Struthio camelus: one gene and its partner. The protein of the gene in region 1 interacts with the protein of each later gene in a pairwise test. Links are inferred from orthologs where the notes say so. Each region holds a gene or a part of one and is shown in the gene's direction. Other genes may lie near its edges.

Region 1 (10,141 bases):
GGCGAGTTTACTAGTATCGCCACACAACTTTGTTCTAAAAAAGCAGAGTTGAGCTGCTTCATTAGCAAGCTGGAAAATTAAAACAAATGGGAAATAAAATACCAAAATATAAACTTGACTCTATTCCTGATACCAAAATACTTTTTCTGTCACTACTGAGGCATATCTTGCCTCAAGCTATCTTGAAACTCAACCCATCTGTGCTGTATGCTACTTCTGAGTAAGTCCTTACAACTGGTTTGGGATGCTTCCTGGAACAACCGCCTGTCTCTCATATTGTTGTCGGTAGCTTGGCATGTGAAACTGCTGAACATGAGTTTCCAGTGTCACACCTTCAATAAAAACTTCTAGTGCTTGCCTTCAAACAATGGAATACTGAGGACAGAGGCAATTTTTATTTCCATGGGCACTAGTGACACCAACATCAGGATGCTAGCTGTAGTTCTCTTGTTTGTATTTTTAAGGGGATGTTGAAAAAAGTTAAGGCAGGTGAGGAAGACATCTACAGAAGTGATTTGGGATCTAGAGTGTATGCCTTACATTATTTAAACTTCTAAGATCTGTTATAAACCACACGCTAGACGTGCTGCCAGTTGATGGTTAATCCAATAGGCAAGATCCGAAAAAGCCCTGTAGAGTCAAAGGAGTTAAGACATCCCTATCCCCGGTGTTTCTTGGCTAGTTTAGATGGCTCCCCACTTGGTAGCCTAGATGTCTTTCAAGCTCACTTTGGGCACTGAATTTTGAGTATTTTTAAGGCCCCATTTTGACTTTCAGATTTCACCATGTGAGTCATCTAGAAACAAGTTAAACATTGCAACACAAAAGTCCATTTGGGGATTTCAGCCTATGTTCATATGCTAACATCCAAAATGGCTCAAAGCGTCTCAGAATTGCAGGCAAAGGTTAATTTGGGGTACTCAAGAGAAGGGCATGACTGTATCTGTCATAGAAAGTGGAGGAAATAGAACCTGGAAAGAGAGCTAGGACAGGCAAAGGTGCAAAAAGCTGGGATTTGTGGCAGTGCAGAGGATCTCCTATACACTGGTCTGTTACATGGTGGCTGACACTGGTGTGAGCAGCCAGGCAGAGCTATGGCTGTAGTCTTTTCCTTGACCTTTCTCTTCTCCTTTCCCAGCAATTTGTTGCTGTAAGTGACTAGATATTCTGGCTACGTTTAGAAGCAAACTCGGACTCCATACTAAAACGCTGAAGACTCCACTGAAAATAAGCAACTTGCATTAATCCATCAAGTGCTGGAATTATTTAACTGATTTTATTGTACGCTGTTTAGTATTCAGTGAAGTGTATCTGCTGATTAGGAATTCCGTTCTCCTTTGTCTATTCATTTTTTAGCTTTCTTGTAAAATTACTGTGCTTCTTTTTTAATCTTTACAAAATGAAAGGCTATTATCTTCCTGATGCATCCAGGAAGGGGGCTTTTTATCAATTAACAAGACAGTGATTCATACCCTAACAAACACAGGCTCTTTACTTTTTAAGTTTACAATGAAACATATAGCTTTTGGTGATCTGCTTAGATTGAACAAGCCTGTGGGTTATGTCTGCATTACTTGTACAGAGGGGCACTGGGAGGTCCCAGACGCACCCACCTGCCATAACAGAGCCCTTGCAAGTAGAGATGCCTGCAGGCTACTGGCAGGCAGCCTGTGTGGGCATATTGGGTGCCACCCATGCTGCTGACTGCGCTAATGGTATACTGGCAGCGTACTCAGCTACCTCAGCATGGCTGGGCATGTGGGGTCCTGAACTTGAGGGGTACCTTTTTTACACCTTGCTGCTGTATTTGGGGAAGACACGTATATATATGACAGCCAAAATCTATCAGGTAGTGCAACTACTGAAGAGTGTCTGAGGTTTATGGAATGAATTTACACCTTCTAGGGATCTGTCTGCTAACGTCAGAAACAGAGGAAACGACATTGGAGAAATCCTCGGTGCAAGAGGTGCATACCTCTCCCTTCTGATCAACTTCTCTGCTTGTGGTATAAGCAGAAGTCGCAGCTTTATGAAACTCAAAAGACAATTCAGTGCTGTTATTTGGCCTTGCAACAGTCAAATCTGGAGTATATTCTCAGTTGTGCCTCTTGGGAAGTAAGGTGTAATTGCCCTAAGTAGGGCTGTTAGAGTAGCCCTTCAGGGACGCTGTGAAGGCTCAAAGAGCGCAGCTCGGCAGCTATGCGCTTCCTGATCACGCTTCCAGGGAGGCCTTTGCACAGGGGCAGCAACCGAGAGCGAGACATTATTGTCCCTGTGTACGGCATGAAGAGTCAGAATACGGCAATCCTAGCCGTCTCCAATATCCCCTACAGTTTTTTTCCGTAACTAACTACCAGGCTTCCCATACTCCGTTCTCCTCAATGTGTTGATGAAAATTGTGGTAAAGAACAGAAGATGGCTTAAAACCACAGTCTGTCTAACAGAATGACTCAGTATCGGTCTTTAGTCATTGACATATTGTTCCTCACTTTCTCCTACACATTATTGGAAAAACATACAAATTAAAACTATTACTAACCACTAGGTTAACTCCTCTCCCTGCAGCTGTTCACCATTACCTTTTTTTGTTATTTAAAAGTATTTGGAATTGTGCCTATGTTCTGAGATTTCCTTTCCCTTACACAGGACAACTGACTGAAGTTAAGAAGTTCACTTCCAAAAGTCACTTCAAACTGTGGTAATGTGGTAGGCATGTTTCCCCTCTGAACTACAGCGATGGCTTCACGCTGTGAGGTCATACGTGGCCAAGTGTTAATTACACACTCCATCAGTTTTGCGATAGTCGAGGGTAGGCCACTTATCTATTTTTTTTTCTCTCTCCCTTTGCTCATTTATGGAAGATACACATCGCCTTAACAATTTAGCCATGTTCAGGAACAGAATTGGGTTTCACCTGTTTTTAAAGATAGGTAAGCTATGTCACCGTTTATTTGATTTGGAGTATGCTGGTTGAGTAGTTTCTAGCCTTGTTAATTTAGTGCCCTTGAATTTTTCAGTCATCACAGCTAGGATTTGAAAACTACCAAGACAGAAAATACCTGTCAGATAATGGAAGTTCAACATAGTTTGCAGGCACAGAAAATTTGAATATGGTCATGAAAGGAGATACATCAGAATTTATCATGATAGGTCCTGCATTTGCTAAAACCATATTGCATTACCCATTCAGATACCTTGAAAACGGAAGTTTTCTTCACGTGGATGGAAATATCCATGGCAAGGAGATTTGCTTAGCTTCTCTTCTAACTTAATTGCTCCTCCTTAATTGCTCTGTCCTCAAATCATTCTAGGCAAAGCCACATGTTAGAATCCTATCAGCGCAGGTTTCACGCCCGTGGTAAAGTTCATGTTGTGAAGAAAAATTAAGACATATTACACCTGTTTCCATGTCATCATAATTCTTCGTCACCTCATTATTTTGGGGTTTAAAATCATATAGTCGTTTTCAAAATTCAAATGGAAGGTGTAGGAGAACATGAGAGCACTCTTATTACCATGTTTATTCTAGCAACCCAGCAAAGGGGTAAAAGAGTGCACCCTGCCCAGGACACCACTGGAAAAGCACAGAGGAGAAGAAAGTTGCCAGGAAGAGCAAGAATTGCCAGAGAAAACTGGGGGCAGAATCAGGTAGTGAAAAGTCACTTCCTACTGCTTCAAGTTTCATTAGACTGGCTGTTAGATTTTACATTTACCTCATTGTCTTTCCCTCTGTCTTTTCATAACAAAGTGTGAGGGGCTCACACAAGTCCACCTGTGGCACACAACAAATATTAAGTGATTATTTAACAGTGCAAGGGTGGCACTTTCCGCCAGACTTCACTATACAACCAGGCTTAGAACAAGGGAGTCGGGAGGCAGCTTAGGAGAATCTTTGTAGTTGAAAGGCAGCTCACAGGATCTTTCCCCATTACCTCATTTGTCCTGCACTCTTCGAGAATCCTAGGTATTTGAATTACAAGTTCCTGCGGCAACTCGCATGTTTTAAAGGACCAAGTGCGATGGGACTCGGAGTGGCACAGAATTGGTGCTCGGTATGCACAGGTGCAGAGTTTGACTGAGAAGAGAGCAGCCAAGCAGCGCACAGCTGGAGGAACATCTAGCTGTCTCCTGCTTGGCCAGTGAGATCTTCTATTTGACATTACCTCTGCAGCATCTGGTAGAGCAAAACATGACACAACCTGACTTCATAAATGGGGAAAAAAAGTCTTCCTCCCATGAAGTGACTTTCAAGAGGGTGGCAGGGATAAGGAGAAATTACAATGGGTGCATATTACTTTTACGTTTTAGTGCAATGTTTGCCAGCACTGCCAGACCATGCGTTCAAACATTCTGAATTTCACCTAGCAGTCTTGATACGACCATGGAAATCCCAGCAGTTCAACTAATTAATGCAAGTTTTTTTTTCTCCTTGTTTTCTTGGTCTTGAATTTTTAAGATTCGAACTCCCTTTTTTCTAGCATGGAACTTGTAGGAAATAAACTTGGAAAATTACTGTAAAAATTTTGAGTTCTCACAGACACGTAGGGTTAGAAGCAGCCTCCTGTGCCATCACGTCTGGTACCACAGACAGGCACAGCGTGGAGTACTTTTAGCAAACTGATGCAGTAGCACAATAAAATGGTGGCGTTTTTGGCCTCTACAACTTCTCCTGTCAGGCTGTTCCAGGTTCTCAGAAGCGCGAGGCCTCTGAACTTCCAGCCTAAATTATTCCTGCCTGTTTGTTTGTTTTGGGGCCAGCACCGTCCTTTAAGTTCAACAGTAACAAGCTCGGAGATGGGACCTCAGGAGAGCACCAAGTGTTGCAAAAGCCGGTGGCTGCGCAGAGGAAAGGCCACGGAGGCGCCAACAGCATCTACCAGCAGCAACTTCGGTGGCACAACGCAGCATGAAAACGAAAGGTAGGAAGTTGGCGAAAGGCACTCGCGTGCTGCTACGGGCTGCCGGCTGCAGCCCCACCGACTGACCGCGAGGCCTGGCTCGCCCACGGGCCCGTCCTGCCCACGCCGCCAACGCCGAGGGGAGCCCCAGCCCGCGGGCGGGCAGCTGAGGGCGGCTGGCGGCCGGCGGCACGTTCCCCCCCGGGGAGGGCGGCAGGGCCCGCAGGCCGCGCCGCGCAGCCCCCGCCCCGCCTCGCCGCCGCGGCCCGCAGGCGCCGGCGGGCGGCGGCCTCCCGCGGCTGCCGGTGCTGCTGCCCCGGCCGGCGCGGGCGGGGAGGACGGCCGCTAGAGGGGGCTCCCCCGGGCTGCCTCTGCCCGCGCCCCGCTTCCTTTCATAGGCTGCGGCGCCGCCCCCCGCCCTCCCTCCTTCCCCCGTGATGGCGGAGGACAGCGAGTCTGCGGCCAGCCAGCAGAGCCTGGAGCTGGATGACCAGGACACCTGCGGCATCGACGGCGACAATGAGGAGGAGGCCGAGCACGCCAAGGGGTAGGGGGGCGCCCGGCGGGCTCGGCTCGCCTCGGCTCGGCTCGCCGCGGGCTGCGCCGCGGGGAACGCGGCGCTGCCGCGGCGGGGGCTGGGGCGGACGCGGCCATTGTGCGGGGCGAACCGAGCCGAGCCGAGCCGCGCCGCCGCAGAGAGCTCCGCGGCGGGCGGGCGGCAGGGCCAGGTGAGCGCAGCTCCTGTCAGGCGCAGGCCGCCTGCATGGCGGCGCGGCCGCTTCCCCGCCGCGTCTGCGCCTGTGCCGCCGCCGCCGCGGAGCGAGACCCCGCCGGCAGCCGCCCTCCGCCCGCCGTGCCCCGGCCCTTCCCTTTGCGGCCGCCCGGAGCCCGCCGGCCCCGGCAGCGGGCGGCCGGGCCGGGCCGGGCTGTGGCGGCGCCGCGGGGCCCGGAGTGCGGAGCGGGCGCTGTGGTCGCTCCCGGCGCACGAGCGGTAAACCCTGGCTTTGCTGATTTACTTATTTACCGCGATTTCTCCGGGTTTTTTTTTTTTGTGTGTTTGGTTTGGTTTTGTTTTTTTAGTTTTGGATGCGAGTTTTCTTATTTCTCCCTTGCCCTTTCGGCAGCACGGCGGAGTCGGTCGCGGCGCTGGGGTGCGGGAGCGCGTGGGGCGCCCCCTCTGCCCGCGCGCTCCGCCGCTCCCGAGGGAGGGGCGCCCCCGGCTCGCCCCCTCCGCCGATCTCCCCGCTCCCAGACCTTTTCCGACGCGCTCTCTGGCCGTCTGTCATGCGCTACGTTACGGTACCCCTCCTACGCAACGTCATCTATTGTCCAAAAGGAAATATTAGCTCTAAATCCACATGTTCTGGAGAGTTGAGCGTGTGTTTTGTCGAGACGTGAACTACAGCAGATACTGGTGTTTTTGTTGTAGTCCCTTCTCTCCTCTCACTGCGCAGCTTAAATCTTCCCACGCTGCAGATCAGATTTCTCCTCTGGGTGCTTGGGAAGAAAAAAAGATAGGTGGCCCACGCGCGCGGGCCCCTTGCACCTGATTGACGTTCCAGCGTGTTCTGCCTGGCCCCAGCTGGGCGCAAGGAGCTTCCTCCGCAGTTTGGGGCCCTGCAGGGAGGGGAGCAGGGGGAACGTATTTTAAAAATTGACTTCATTTAAATTTACCTTTTTGCTTTTTGGATTAGAAAATATGCTGGCAAAGAGAAAATGCTTTGTTGTCACAGCTAGGAGTGGCTCACGTAGCCTGAAGTAGAAATAGTTTAATTTGTAAACCACTACACACACATCTTCCCCATGAATTTCTGATTCGTTTGGCTGAGAGCATTTCTGAAGGTGATTGATGTTGGAGGATGCAGAATACTTGTAAGCTGCATGTCGACTCCTGCCCCTCGGATTTGCTTGGCAACAAGCAGCTCTGCATCTTAAACATGGTGAGGAAAAATCTGAGAGAGGTAGAAGGGCTGACTTGTTTGAAAAGTAGGAAAGGGAAAAACTTCCTCCGTTGCCACTCTCTCAGCACATTTTTGGCAAGCGTGCTAAAATAATTGTGTAAAAAAATTATTGTAATGTGAGGCTAGGCTATTGACAAAAGGGACAGGATAATTTTTAATTATCTTGGGGCTTTTGTTATATTTGTTTGCATAACTATGCCGCTGTTTGGCTTCCAAATTCATAAAAGAAACACCACTAAAAATAGTGAATGATTATTTATTGCTCTTCGTAGACGCCAACCTGACGTGCCTGGCCAGATTGTTTGATGGCTTGGTAATGGCTGTCTAGAATTCATTCCGATGTTATTCCTGCTCTGATTTCTTCTCCTGCTTGTTTTCGTGATCGAGCTGTAGTTGCCTTGTGCTGTATATCTGGTCTTGCGGCTGTGCACTCGGGCTGCTTTGACAGGGGGTGCAGAAGCAGTGTATAAGCTGCAGCAGTGGAACAAAGAATTGCACTTCAGCATGCTCTGCATCGTAGCTTGCCGTTGTGCTCCAAGTTAGGGCCCTAAGCTTTGTGGGACAACTAATGTGGCTATGGGCCATACGCTGCGCTCTCCAAAATTTGTTTTTGTTGAATATCCAAAATGTATTTTAATGAGTATTTCAAAGAAGCCACTTTATTCATCTTGGAAATATCCAGCTTCTTATTCAAAGTAATGTACATGAAGTTTAGTGAAGTAAATGGTAGGTCATTCAAGTAGAAAAAAGCCTCTAAATATTAGACATCAGTTTCTTATCAGGCTTTGATCCATGGAGTCTAGTACTAATTACTGTTTTATTTTCTCATAATTTTTGAAGATCTGGTTTGTTACTCTTTATCTGCAGGCCAAAGCGTTTGAACAAATTTCATCAAATGAAAAGTCTTACATTACAGCAAACACAACAATATTTTAAGATCTCTTCCAGATCTAGGAAATTAACTCATGGTAGTAGGAGCCCATGTTCCCTATTGTAATGTATTTATTTTTGCAGTAGCTTTAAAATTTGCTTTGAATTTTCAGATTAGTTTTTATATAATTAAGTATTTCGTAAGCAGTCCTACAACTTAAAATTGTGACTGTGGCAATGACTTGTTAACTTCTGAATGGTCTGCATTGCTGCTGATGAATATTTAATGTCATCCTATCTCAACTGCTACTTTCTTATAAGGAGGTAGACTGTGTTCTGCGTGTCAGTCTCTAGTAAGACTGGAAGGTGTATGAAGTTGCTCTGAAACTGTTTCTTGACATTTGAAATTGCACCTTTATAATACTAACCCCAAATAGATATGGTGTGTGTGTATGTATATATATATATATATATATATATATATATGCATGAATTGATTTTTAGTTTACTCTTGGGTTTTTTTGATGTGCTTGAGCACTGAATGACTGCAGCAGAACATAACAATTTATAGCTCTCAACTATGCAAGTGTCTTTGTCCTCTGTGCTCCTGTTTTCTAGATGCAAGATTATGTATGTTGTGTGACTCATATTGCTATTCTCCTGTTCTGTCTCTGCAGTATGTTCCTGATAGATGCATTCTGCTGTACTTGTTTGGTTTCATAATAAAATGTTGTTTACCAAGTAGCTTTTTTAGTGTGTATGTAGATAAAAATTGTGTTTATTGCACCTGACTCCACCTTGCTGAGCCCAGCTTTGTGTTCATTGTAAAGAGCTCCCTATACTGTATGATAGAAGGGGTTAGAACAGAGAATATTTAATAAGCAGATGAGGAAAATTAATAACCTTTAAACAAAAAAGTCTCCTTCCCACCCCTAAACCCTCATAAATGCTTTCCTTTGAACATTTTATTAGCATAATCCTTTAATTATGATTCTATAGCAGCTTTATAAGCAGTACTACTTTCAGTTTTTTTTAAAAAAATACAATTTTTAAGGCACTGGAGGAAGAGTTCTGCTTTGACAGGTGAGACTTAACTCCTAGAGTATAGCCTTACAGGCTTGAAGGAGGGGTAGACGAAACATGCTAAGCTTTGGGGAGTACCTGTTATATCAGGGTTTAAGGCATACTAGTAGGTTTTCATGCTCAAAAAAACCTGTGCATTTCCAAGTACTGAAATGTATGAAAATGAAGCCTTAGTCCAGGACAGTTGTTACCAGTAGTAGTTTTAGCAGTGAAATTTGAAGGACTTAAGACTTTCATGTCAGCATACTTTTTATTCTCTCAAAATGGTGGTCCTCTAATACTGCAGTAGGAAAGCCCTTTGCACATAAGCCTCCGTTTTCTGCATGAACCAGGGACAGCCCTAGTATAAATAATGTAACTTTGCTGTTTGTTACGGTCTGGCCTATATACATGAGATCTAATTTTTATGATCCAAGAGATCTATATAGGGTGTGCAGAACTGTAGTTTTGCAACCTCACTTACTCATAGAGAGACAAAAATATGGTGAAGGAAAAAAACCATACAGGCCTAGGCCTTTGCGACTTAAAAATAAACATCTGAAATACATGTTTGGTTTTAGAAGTGAGAAATTTCTGACTTAAAATTGCCACCCCACATAATTTAAAACATATGTTAGTATTACAAGAAGCTGTTTCTGCTAAAGCAGCATTTAATGTTCAAAAATGATGATTAAAATAACACTGAAGAATACTCACTGGGAAAGATGATCTCAAATCAAAAGCAAGGGAACTGAAACAGTTTGACCACCTGAGTGGAATAACTATAATACTCCTCCTGCTTCTTTGAACATCTGAGCTTTTCATAATTTTGTTCAGAGCACCCTAAAGTAAGTTTCTCAGCATTTGCCACACTCCTCCCTAAGTGCAGCAGATATTCCCATTTTTCGGATTTAAAAAAATGCACACTGGGAGAAGGACAAGTCTGCAAAACACCAGATGTGTGTACATAAGTGGAAAGGTATGTGGGTGGGATCATGGGCTTACATGTGTAACTTGCAGGCAAAATCATAAAAACGTGGGCCTAAATAACTTTTGCAAAGTCATGCCTACAGCCTGTTTCTGTGGCAGAGTTGAATTTTCTTTGGGACAGAGCAAGGTCTCTTGACTCTTCTTTTGCCTTAGCTGAGGTTTGGTTTGTGCATCGCTTTAGTACTGGCCTCAACTCTTTCTTATTCATCATACTGGTAAAACCATCAGGGTAGATGCAGTGAGAAGTGTCACGAGCCACGTCTGCACTGGGGACACACTGGTGTGCAGGGTTGCTCTCTGGTCAGCAAAGTGCCCCTAGGGTCGGTGCAGCTCTGCTAGACTGGGAAAGTCGACTCGTCA
Region 2 (10,559 bases), on another chromosome or scaffold:
CAGCGAGGCTTTGGGCACACGCGGAGAGCGGCGTTTGGCACCTGGGAGAGGGATTTTTCCACCAGCGTTTAAGAGGAGGTTTAATGATACGCTGGGGAGAGGGGAGATTTAGGCGGGGGGGGGGGGTTGCATCCCTTTCCCATCACGGCTACTGATTTGTATTCACTACAGCAAGGGAGTTTACGGAAGGGGGGAACTGCTGTTTTATTGATATCTAAAATCGATGGATATCAATATCTATCACCTGATCTGATGGATGTGCTAATCACACGCTTTTCTTCCAGCTTCTCTTTTTCCTAGGCAAACGGCCCCGGTGCTATGGTGAAGGCAGGTAAAACGTGCAGCCGAGCGATACAGCCAGCCCCTCGGCGTCCCGGCGTCCCCGCCGGACCGCAGGCACGGTGGGCCCGAGGGAGCCGCAGCGCGCGGGTCTCCTCCCCGCCACGTTACGCCGCCGCTGCGTCGTCTCCCGAACGCCTTCGCGTGCCGATCGCCGCAGGTCTCAGCGCAGAGCCGGCTGCCCCAGCCCCGTCTCCTGCTGTTCCTCCGTCCTCCGGCTGGTCCCATCTCCCAGCGGCATCTTCCCTCGTGTGCCCGGCCGCCCGAGCTGGGACACCTCGGGCCTGTCCCCAGGCGCACGGCTGCACCCGCCTCCGCCGTCCCTGCCCGCTCCTCCTCCCGCACGGCAGACGTACCCAGCGCTGTATAAAGTCTGATAAAAGACGCGTTCCCTGGCCGGGGCCGCGTTGAACCCGCATCGATCCTGGCCTGGATCGCGCAGCCCTGACGGACATATCTGCCGTTTTACGGCAGGACGACGCCAAGACGCGCGTTGACCGCAGCAAATTGCTTGGCGGCGCGGGTCTGAAAGCGTAGCGGGCGCCCAGCTGGGATCGACTCGGGGCGAAACCATCACAGCGGCCAGCCGGGCCGGCAGCAGAAGCGGCGGCGAGGCCCCCCCGGGAGGCGGGGGGGGCCGGGTCCCGCGGGACCTTTCCTCCGCAGACCTCTCCCGAACCCGGCCGACGCCAGGGCAGAGACCTCGGCCGTTTGTTTAGGTTCCTCCCTGGCCAATATTGAATTTTGGAGCCGCCGAGCGTCCCGGCGGGGCGGGGGTGAGCCACGGCCGCAGAGGGCCACCGCCTTGCCTGGTGGGTCCGAACAAGGCAAGGGCTGCTCTGCTCGGCTTGCGGGCCTGCGAGGGCAAGCTCTGCTTTTGGGGTAGCGGCTGTGGGTGCTGGGGAGCACCCACAAAGGACCGCGTCGGTACAGGAGCTCGCAAAGATGCAAGAGCGGGTAAAGAATATAGAAAGGGGAGACGGGATAAAGTAACGAACCCGAAGGGTAACATCGGCGCGCCTCCTTCCAGAAACTCACGGCCCGGTGTCTCGCAGCGGGAACTCGGAGGACTTGGCAGCCAGGAGAAAAGCTCCCAAATGTCGGCCCCGCGCCCCGCCGAGATGGCTCGTGGATGGGCGGCCGTCACCCACGCAGCTCCAGGCCCGCCGGGCTGAGCCGTCCGCAGCTACGGGCTCCCACCCCGTGGAAAGGGCGCCTGGTTGCACGGGTCCCCAGAAAGTCCGCGGTGCACCCGTTGCCCTCGGCTCGTCCCCCCGCAAGACGCCGGTAAGCCCGGAGGCGCCCGCTGCCCTGCCCGGCCCGGCGGCGGAGGTGCTCCTCCGTCGTCGCCCCGCAGCCCCGGCGCGCTGCCGAGGTGAGCCAGAGCCAACCCTCCGCAAAGCGGAAGCGGGCCAAGGGCGGTCTGCGGGGGACGGCGGGGGGGCAAAACCAACCGGAAAGGCAGGGGAACGACCAACGAGCCGAGAGAGGGGCCGCGCGGGAGCCCAGGAGCTCAGAGGGGACCCGCGTTCACCCGAGACGCGGGTCTGCAAGGGCCCGAGGCAACACATGCCACCTCGAGGGCTCCTCGGTGGCGTGGCCCCCGCGTGATTTTCAAGGGCTGGGGACCGGCCATCCGCACGCCCTTGGGAGGGCGCACAGCTCCAGCCCGTGACCTATTTTTTTCTCCGTAGCCAGGTGTCTCCCGCAGTAAAATGAATGGGCTTAAACAAAACAGCTCTTAATGACCTCTTTCTCCTTTTGTTGTGGAAGGAAAACGTAAAATCATAGCTTAGCTCCCAGGGATCCCTTCAGATGCTCCTTCCAGGCTGCCCCGGCTTGGAAGCGAAGAGCGGCCTCCTGCCCTTCACAAAGGCACAATGATGGGTTTCCAAGCTGACCAGTATGATGGATGTGGTAATTACACGGGGATATTTTTTCCCTGCTCGTCTCTGCTGGTTACAGCCTGTTATTGTGCCTCTGAGAGCCCAGCGTGGGACCTGGGGCCGATCCGCTCGCACAGCTCGGGCAAGGGCCCTGGCCGAGCAGGACGGCGCCGGTCCAGCCCGGCTAATTTGGGGCTGAAAAGATGCAGAAAGCCGCGCCAGGAGCCGCGGGCTGATTGCCTGCATGGAAAAGCCATGCCCAGGCAGCAGCGCGTGCGCTGGCCGAAACGGCTGGCTGCACCGGGGACCCCAGGCCAAGGAGGGACATGTCCGGGGCAGCCCGGGGCACCGGCTGCCGGTACCAAGCCAGGCGCCCGCCGGAGCCTCGGAGAGAGAACGGGCCTGATTTTTGGCCCCGCTCTTAATGGGAGGGCTGGGGCTCTGCGGTGCGCGGCCCTGCTTCGTGCTGGCTGCGGGAGCTCGGGTGCCACGGCCAGGGCCCTCTGAGTCTCCGTCCTGCCCTCTCCCCCGGCCGCTGGGAACCAGTAAAAAAACAAACGTGATCCCAGCGAGCAAACGAAGCGTTTTGGAGCCTGCTATCCACCTCCTTAGCTTTTTCCCATGCCAAGCTCCTAAAAACTCCCCGGGTGGCTTGTAGCAAACCTGCTCCCACGCCTGCCGAAGCGAGGGGGTAGAGGGAAGGATTGGGCCCTCCGTGCAGTTGCTCTTTAAAAAAAGGGAAGGAAAAAGTGAGAGAAATCTGGTATGAGCTATAAGTGCTTCAGCAAAGCAGCCCAGCAAGGTAACAAAGGCCTCTTTCACCATGGAGACGAGGCAGAAACCGTGCGGAGGCTGTGCGCTTCAGTCAATTTGCAGCAAGTACTTTTGCAAGCTATTCCTAGAGGGTTTCATCCTGCCACCCTGCCCCGGTTGCCGTCTCTTGCCGAACGCTGGCGGAACGGGACCAACCAGCGCTTTTCCGCGGCAAGCGGGGCCGGCGGGGACCGCGGCGCCTGCGAGCCTTGGCGTGCAACGCACAAAACCAAGCTTTTTCCATGCCCCTTTGGGGCAGCAGGGCTTTTCTGCTCGTGCGGAGTCCCGCGCCTGAGCGCTGGGGTGCTGCAGGGCCCCGGGGTGCTGGGCCGGCAGCGCGGGGAGCAAAGGGAGCTGCACACGGTGCCGTGCGGAGCCGGGCTGGGAAGTGGCTCCGTGCAGCCCCGACGCCAGCTGGATGGAGCTCATTGATTTCTGGTGGAGCGCAGCACGCGGGAAGAGCTCGTTGTAAATATTGCGGTCTGTTTATGAGTTTGGGTGTTAGTCATGCACTCGAGACGAGCTATTATTTTTTATTTGCAAGCAGCAGAGCCAAGCTGATTCCGCCTTTCCCCCCCTTCCCGGCTCGAGCCAGGGACTCGCTCTCCTCCGCAGAGGCTAGGAGGCTGCTGTGACTTCCAACCTGCTTGCACAGCACCGGCAGGCTCTTCAGCAGGCAGCCTGGGCGCACAGGGCTGCACGGGGGGACGGGTGCTCCCAACCCTGGTGCAGCGCATGCCTGTCCCTGCGCCAGGCCAGCCCCATCCTCCTCCTCCTCCTCCTCCCCCAGCTGGGCACCCTGCACTGGCCCCCAGATCCTGGTGCAGCCCTAACGGGTAGCACACAGGCTGAGCTGTGGCTTGCTCCGGGACAGCTTCGGCCACCAACAGCAGTGGGGAACGGGGGGGACACAGGCAGGAAGAGGAGGACACGCTCCTACACACACACACTCCTGCTGGCCCTGCACAGAGGGACAGCACCGAGAGGCTCCAGTGGGAGGGAGCACAGGAAGTTTTGCAGCTGGGCACAGCAAATGGGTCCCTTTTTTCCTCTAGCTCAGGGCTCACCTCCCCTAGCTCTCCCTGCTCTCCACTTCCTCTCTCCGCTCTGGCCCCCTTCCTCCCTGGGTGAACCAGAACAGGGGGTGGGGGGCAGAGGTCTACTGCAGGCAGTTTTGAAGCCCTGTCATGCAATGAGTAGGTTATTTAGGGCAGCTGCACTGGCCCAGTCAGAGCAGCTGAGCAAAGGCTGTGCTCCTTCTCCTCCTGGTCCTGGTGACCACCAGGACCGAGGGACGTGGTATGAGCCAAGCGCAGTCCTTGCTGCAGCTCTCCCGCAGCCCGCGTCCTGCCTTGCCCTCACGTCGTCCTGCTTTTGCAGCAAAACAGCCTGAACTGCGGGTCTGCTGAGGCGCGAAGGAGCCCTCCAGTTCACTGCCTCAGCCGCGTTGTTTCACGGTACCTCAAAGCTTTTTCCTCCCTAAAGAAAAAAACCCTGCTCGCAGGGAAGCAGGGAAAGGGCTGTAAAGTGAGTAAGAGCCAGTCTATTTCTGGCTCCAGCGTGAGGGGGTTTTTTCCACAGCTCCTGCGTTTCCCTCTGAAAGCCCCAGGGCAGGAAGAGGGGCGCGCGTGCCGCTCACGTGCAAACGAGCGCGAAGCATCTGGGATGCGTCAGGGAGGTGCCGAGAAGCTGTGCGGGTGGCCCAAGGCACGCGTGCGGGGCCCGTTTGTCCTTGGCCCCGGGCGTGCCGTGACGAACGGCCGCGGTCCTCCTCTGCCACCTGGGGCAACGAGAGGAGGTGGCCGGGGGACAGCCGGCAGGTGCCATGGCAGCCTCCAGCTGCGGCACCCGGGCTGCGCCACGCGTGTCTCACGGCCGGTAGCCTGGGGCGAGCTGGGGGACCTCCGAACGGGGGGGTCTATGGCTAGCGAGCTGCTGTCAGGCAGGCTGCAGGACTGCCAGGAGCGGGGCGCAAACCCCAGCCGTGGCGGGGCCCGCTGCTTGGCGGGCGCTCTTCGCCTCAGTCCGCCCCCCTGCAAAGCGGGGGCCGTAGGGCACCGCGCCGCTGCGAGCGGCTGCGGCGGGCCGGGGAGGAGCGGAGCGCCCTGGCCAGGGTGGAAAGAGGCCAGAGGAGGATCAGGTCGGGGCTCCTTGACCCGCTGGGCGCCCCGGGGTGGGCCAGGTTTCCTCAGATGACTCGGAGCTGCCATTTGCTGAGGCTGGGGGTGGAGAAGGGAGATGGACTCAACAGCTGTGCGGAGGGAAAACTTTCCACGCCAAGCGGATACCGGGCTAAATATAAACCGCCTTTGGGCTCGCGTTGGCCGGGACCCCCCCCGCCCAGTGCAGGCGAGGGCAGGGGGACCTGCCAGCGCTCCCCGAGGGCATCCCCCGGGCAGGGTGACTGACGGCCGCGCGGCGCGGTTCGCTGGGGCTGCCCTCGGGCACCCCTGCGTGCGCCCCCGGCCCGCTCTGCTCTCCGGCCGCGACGCCTCCCGCGCTCCTGCGGAGCCGCCCGGGTTTGTTTCCTGCTCGAGCGAGGGGAGATGCCATCACCCCCCCCTTAAAAAAAATAAAAATAAAGGTATGGGAAGACCCTCAGCAGGCAGGAATCGCAGACGAAGATCTGCAGGCCGGCTCGGCAGCCAGCAGCGGGCCCCGGCAGCCGACAGGCGCTTTCGGGTTTCTCCAGGGGGGCGGAGCTTGGCCGGGAGGGGCGGGGCTTGGCTGGGCTAGGCGGAGCTGGGCGGGGCGGAGCTGGGCGGGGCGGGGCAGAACTGGGCGGAGCCAGGGAGCGGAGCGGGGCCGGGAGGGGCGGGGCTTGGCCGGGCGGGGCGGGGCTTGGCGGGGCCGGGCGGAGCGGAGCGGAGCCGCCAGGCGCAGCCCTGGGCCGCCCCCAAGCGGCGGCAGCGGCGGCCGGGGCTGGGGTGAGAGAGCGGCGCTGCGGCGGGGTTGGAGGTCTCCGGGGGGGAACATCCAGTTTTGGCAATAGTTCTTTTTAAAACAAAAACCAAAAAAAAAAAAAAAAAAGAGAGAGAGAAATATCTGAGGAGCAGCTGGCGGAAGTGGACTGGCCGCCTTCTCTTCGCAGGGAGAACGCAAGCTTCAGAAGCAGAGGAGAGATGTTTTAATGCCAGGTTTCTGGGTGGAATTAAACAAACCCCAAAAGCCTCGCTGCCCGGGTGCCGCCCTCGGGAAGGAGGCCGTACCCGAGGGGAGGCGCTGCCGCCCGGCAGGACCCTCCGCCTAACCCTCGCTGGGCTGCAGGGAGGGGAGCTGCCTCTTCGTCGGGCAGAGAGGGCTCTCCGGAGCCCGTGGGCACCATCACGCTGTTACTGCTCGTGAGAACATGAGCATCGTCGCCATCTCGCAGCGCAGCCCGCGGGAAGGCGCTGTTTGCCCCCTGCTGCTTCGCACCCGGCCATGGCCCGTTTGGGAAGTCGGGCGTGGATGCGGTGTTTGAAAAGTAACCCGCTGTTTGTGCAGGATGGTGGTAGCCGCTCTGCGAGCGCTTCCCCTTCCTCACCGGCCGGGTGGTGCGAAGCGGCGCCAAGTTACCCGGGGAAGTTCAGGGCAGGTCTCCCCGCCCGGCCGGCCTGCGGGGCGGCCGGAACGGTCGGGCGCGGCGCGCGTTTCCCGCCCGGCGCGGCGGCTGCGCGTACCGAGGCGCGGCGCGGCCGTTGCGCGCCGGGGGGACGGCGCGGCGGGCGGACCGGAGCGGAGCGGGCGGCGCGACCGCCATGGCGTCGCCCCCGCTGGCCGCGGCGGCAGCGGCGAGCGGCGGCGAGGCGAGCTCGGGGCCGGAGGCCGAGGAGCCGGCGCCGCCGGGCCGCGACCTGGCCGCCCTCTTCGAGCAGGCGGCCGAGCGGCTGCCGGCGCTGGTGCCGGCCGCCAGCAAGGAGCAGCTCCTCTACCTGTACGCCAGGTACAAGCAGGTGAGGGCCCGGCCCCGGGCGCCGCCGCCGCCGCGACGGGGGGGCCCGGCCCGGCCCGGCCCGGCCCGCCGGCGCCTCGGGCCTCCCCTCTCCCCCCACTCGGGCTTCCTGCCCCCCCCGTGTCCCTTCCCCCCAGCCAGGCCCCACGTACCTTGTCCCCCCGCTGTGTCTCTGCTCCCCCAGCCAGGCCCCACGTACCTTGTCCCCCCCCCGTGTCCCTTCCCCCCAGCCAGGCCCCACGTACCTTGTCCCCCCGCTGTGTCTCTTCCCCCCCCCAGCCAGGCCCCACGTACCTTGGCCCCCCGCTGTGTCTCTTCCCCCCCTAGCCAGGCCCCACGTACCTTCTGCCCCCCCATCTCTCCCCCCAGCCAGGCCCCACGTACCTCCCCCCCGCCCAGCCAGGCCCCACATACCTTCTGCCCCCTCCATGTCCCTCCCCCCCAGCCAGGTTCCATGTACCTCCTCCCCCCTTCCCGGGTCCCTTCCCCCCAGCCAGGCCCCATGTACCTCCTCCACCACCTCCTCCCCCCCCCGGTCCCTTCCCCCAGCCAGGCCTCATGTATCTTCTTTCCTGCCCCCTCTCTTTCTCTTCCCACCCCACAGGTGGGTCCCAGGGTCTTCCCCCCTCCACCCCTGGCCGAGGTTTCAGGCCCTGTTGGGGTCCCGGATGAGGACCTCGGGTGTGTACAGGGCACCCCGGGTTAAACCGTTAGACCCTTTAGTGCAGAAGGAGTTTGAGGGCAGTTTGGAAATGGATAGAGCAAGTCCTGACTCTGGTTGGTCAGAGAAAGTTACTTGCTTCAGGGCTCTCCTGGAGGCACCTTGCCTCGGTCCTTTGATGGCCGCAATCTCTGCCTTGCAAAAAACATGCTTTCTGTATCCTACGTGATAAGTGGGAAAAAGTTGCCTAAGGAGCAAGGCGACCCAGCTTGTGAAAATAAGGATGTAGAAAGCTCTTTATTAAAGCACAAAAGTTGAGTTGCCTTAACACTGCGTATGATAAAGCTAGAGAAAATATAATGGGATAAAGAGCCTCTTAATTAATCACGGTGTTTCCAATTCTTTTCTGCTTCACTGTGGGTAACTGTAGTACAAAGCTGCTCGCCTCTGAGCTGAAAACTTCAGTTTGACCCCTGTGGGGGCTGCTCAGTTGCTCGAAGTTGGGAAATTGTCTGTAGGATTTGGCCTTAGTCACTGAGGAGTCAGTGCTGTGACAGCTCACCGGTGGGTCGCTGGCCTGTCGAAAAGTTTGCTGAGTCTTTGTGGAGTAACTTGTGGAGTAATCTTACAAATATCGCTGTCTCACTTCCATTTGTCAGCTCCATTGTGTAGGTTAGGTGACAAGGAAACTGAGCTCTCTTTGTATTTTTACAAGTAGTTCCTACGAGCAGGTTAGAAAAGCCGACTGAACGGTTTGTAGGGCAACGCTAGCGCTGGCGCTGGTCTTCCCGTTCAGAGATGCGAGCTCTGCAGTGGGCTCTGTATTACTGGGCCGGGCGTGAGCATTAAACTTTTGAAGTTTTGGTGTGGCCTCATGTGTCGGTCCAGATCTATTCGTGGAGTCAGAGCCTTGGTGTGGACTGGGAAATTAAACTCCTCAGCTGTATGTATAATTTTGAATGTGAATCCTTTTCCCATTCGGTTCCCGTGAGTTGGCAAGTTCTGGGATGCGTCCTATTGGAATGTATGGTGTGATTTGGTTCCCTTGTTAAGGATAAACTTTAAACACTTGTTATCATAGAGATATTTCCCTGCTGCCTGTATGTCTGATCATAGACTAGATCGGCAAGCATTTTGTAACTGACCGCTTTCTGTTCACCGAAGGACTCTGAAATATCTTCTGTGGATAATCAGCTAAGCTTAATTTTTTCCTGTTCTTTGTCGGATGGGTGCTTTGACACGATACAATGGTTTACTGATAGGTAAATAGTTCAAAGCATTAAAACCAACTTGAGCATGCTTGCTGGTGTTACCCTGTTATAACTCGCCCCCCACCTTTTATAATCGTGTCAGTTTTTCCTGCTCCTGTGGGAGAATCTATGCAAACAAAACAGAAAAAGCACCAGCTAAGGTACAAAGGACTGTAACAATTAGTTAGCCTGGAGAAACAAAGTCATGAGTATTGTTACAACTGGGAGATTAAAGAATAAAAGTACAAATATGACTGTGTGTGTGACAAGAGACGCTGCCTTGACTTGAAACTTGCATGTGATCCTTTTGCATCAGCTCGGATTAGCAGAGTCAAAGTTAAGTGTGTGCATCTTCCCCATAATTTTTCTCCCATATGGGATGCACTACAGATACTGTCTCACTACAGCCACTTCAAAACATTTTTATTTTTTTAAAGCAGTATTTAGTTATTCTCCAAGCTGGTGGCTCTCAGACTGGTTTGTGGGCCATTAATTCTGTCAAGTGCTGGCTGGTCATGTGATGCTCTGTCTTCAGATTTTTCTGCTGCTTAAGCAGGTCTACAGGATTCTTTCTGCTTTTAAGAAAAAGGTGGGGGAAAGTACCTGGGGAACTTTAGTAAGAACTGTAAGAACCATGCCTGGGATGAGATGAAGAGAAAGGGGTTTTTCTGTACTATAAACTTTGTTGTTGCATGTAATTATTGAACAAGCATTTCTGTAGCCTGAGGAGATGTGCTGCAAATAACCTCTATTTTTCATTTTCTTGCAAATGTTTTGTCCTGCCGTGGATGGAAAAGGGAAGGCATTACTTGCATATCAGTTTGATAGCTAGCAGACTACAGGGCGTTTCCTGGTGCTGGCTCTGTAAGAGCAACAAGGTGTTTAATGTTTGGCTTAAAAATTACTAAAATCAGAAGCTATTTCACAGCAATGATGGGTTTGATAGAAGCCCTAAAAAGACCAGTCGTTACTGTGCATCAGCACAGATTTGTGGCAGGTTTCCAGTTGACTGCTGCTGGTGGGATCAGCCTATTTCTCTCTTCTCCTTCTCTGTCCCTGTCATACCTGGCTGAGCTGCACGCGGAAGCAAGAGCTTTCCTGCACCTTGGTTTTGGGGTGGGTTAGGAGCTACGCTGTCGCTTGTCCAGCACAGCCCAGAAAGGTGCAGTCCTTGTTTTACAGTGCCTGGGAGGGCAGCGCTTGCAGTGAAGGTGGGAGAAGTTTGCTAGTACAGCTACTGCAGGATTAGGTTCTGCTAACTTCACTTTGTGCAGCATTCTGTGCTTTAAATCAAAGCAATGGTACTTAATGCGACTTTTCTCTATTTAATTATAGCAGCCATATCAGTATGCATAATGGGCTGCTAATATATTACTCCAGTGGACAGTAGTATTGCTAGCGTACAAAAGGTGCTGACTCAGATCTGTCCACTGTCCTTGATTTGGCATCCTTATCTTTCCACAGTCTAGTGTTTTATGTCACTAAAGGCTTTGATTTAAGATACAGCACCGTCATAAAAGAGATGACAGTAACAGCTGAGCTCTCTGTTAAAATACTGTGCATTATTTATTTCAAACTATTTGGGTATATAACCATTTTCCTGGAATTTTATTACCTTTTATTGGAGGCCATTTCAGGATTTTATTACTTTTCTCTCTGATTTTGTTTATGTGTCA

What was found. The genes of interacting proteins can lie anywhere in the genome.
Region 2: the proteins of NMT2 (region 1) and ACBD6 interact in binary tests that used the Homo sapiens proteins (3 or more experiments, as listed by UniProt). The link is inferred for Struthio camelus from reciprocal best matches to the Homo sapiens genes NMT2 and ACBD6.

What each region holds. Positions count from the first base shown.
Region 1 is NC_090943.1:24,860,817-24,870,957, forward strand, and holds the start of NMT2 (glycylpeptide N-tetradecanoyltransferase 2), read left to right. Parts: upstream 1-5,319; 5' UTR 5,320-5,335; coding exon of another isoform or gene 5,336-5,384; coding exon 5,385-5,445; intron 5,446-10,141.
Region 2 is NC_090949.1:6,765,622-6,776,180, reverse strand, and holds the start of ACBD6 (acyl-CoA-binding domain-containing protein 6), read left to right. Parts: upstream 1-6,749; 5' UTR 6,750-6,778; coding exon 6,779-6,973; intron 6,974-10,559. UniProt on the Homo sapiens protein: Binds long-chain acyl-coenzyme A molecules with a strong preference for unsaturated C18:1-CoA, lower affinity for unsaturated C20:4-CoA, and very weak affinity for saturated C16:0-CoA. Does not bind fatty acids. Plays a role in protein N-myristoylation.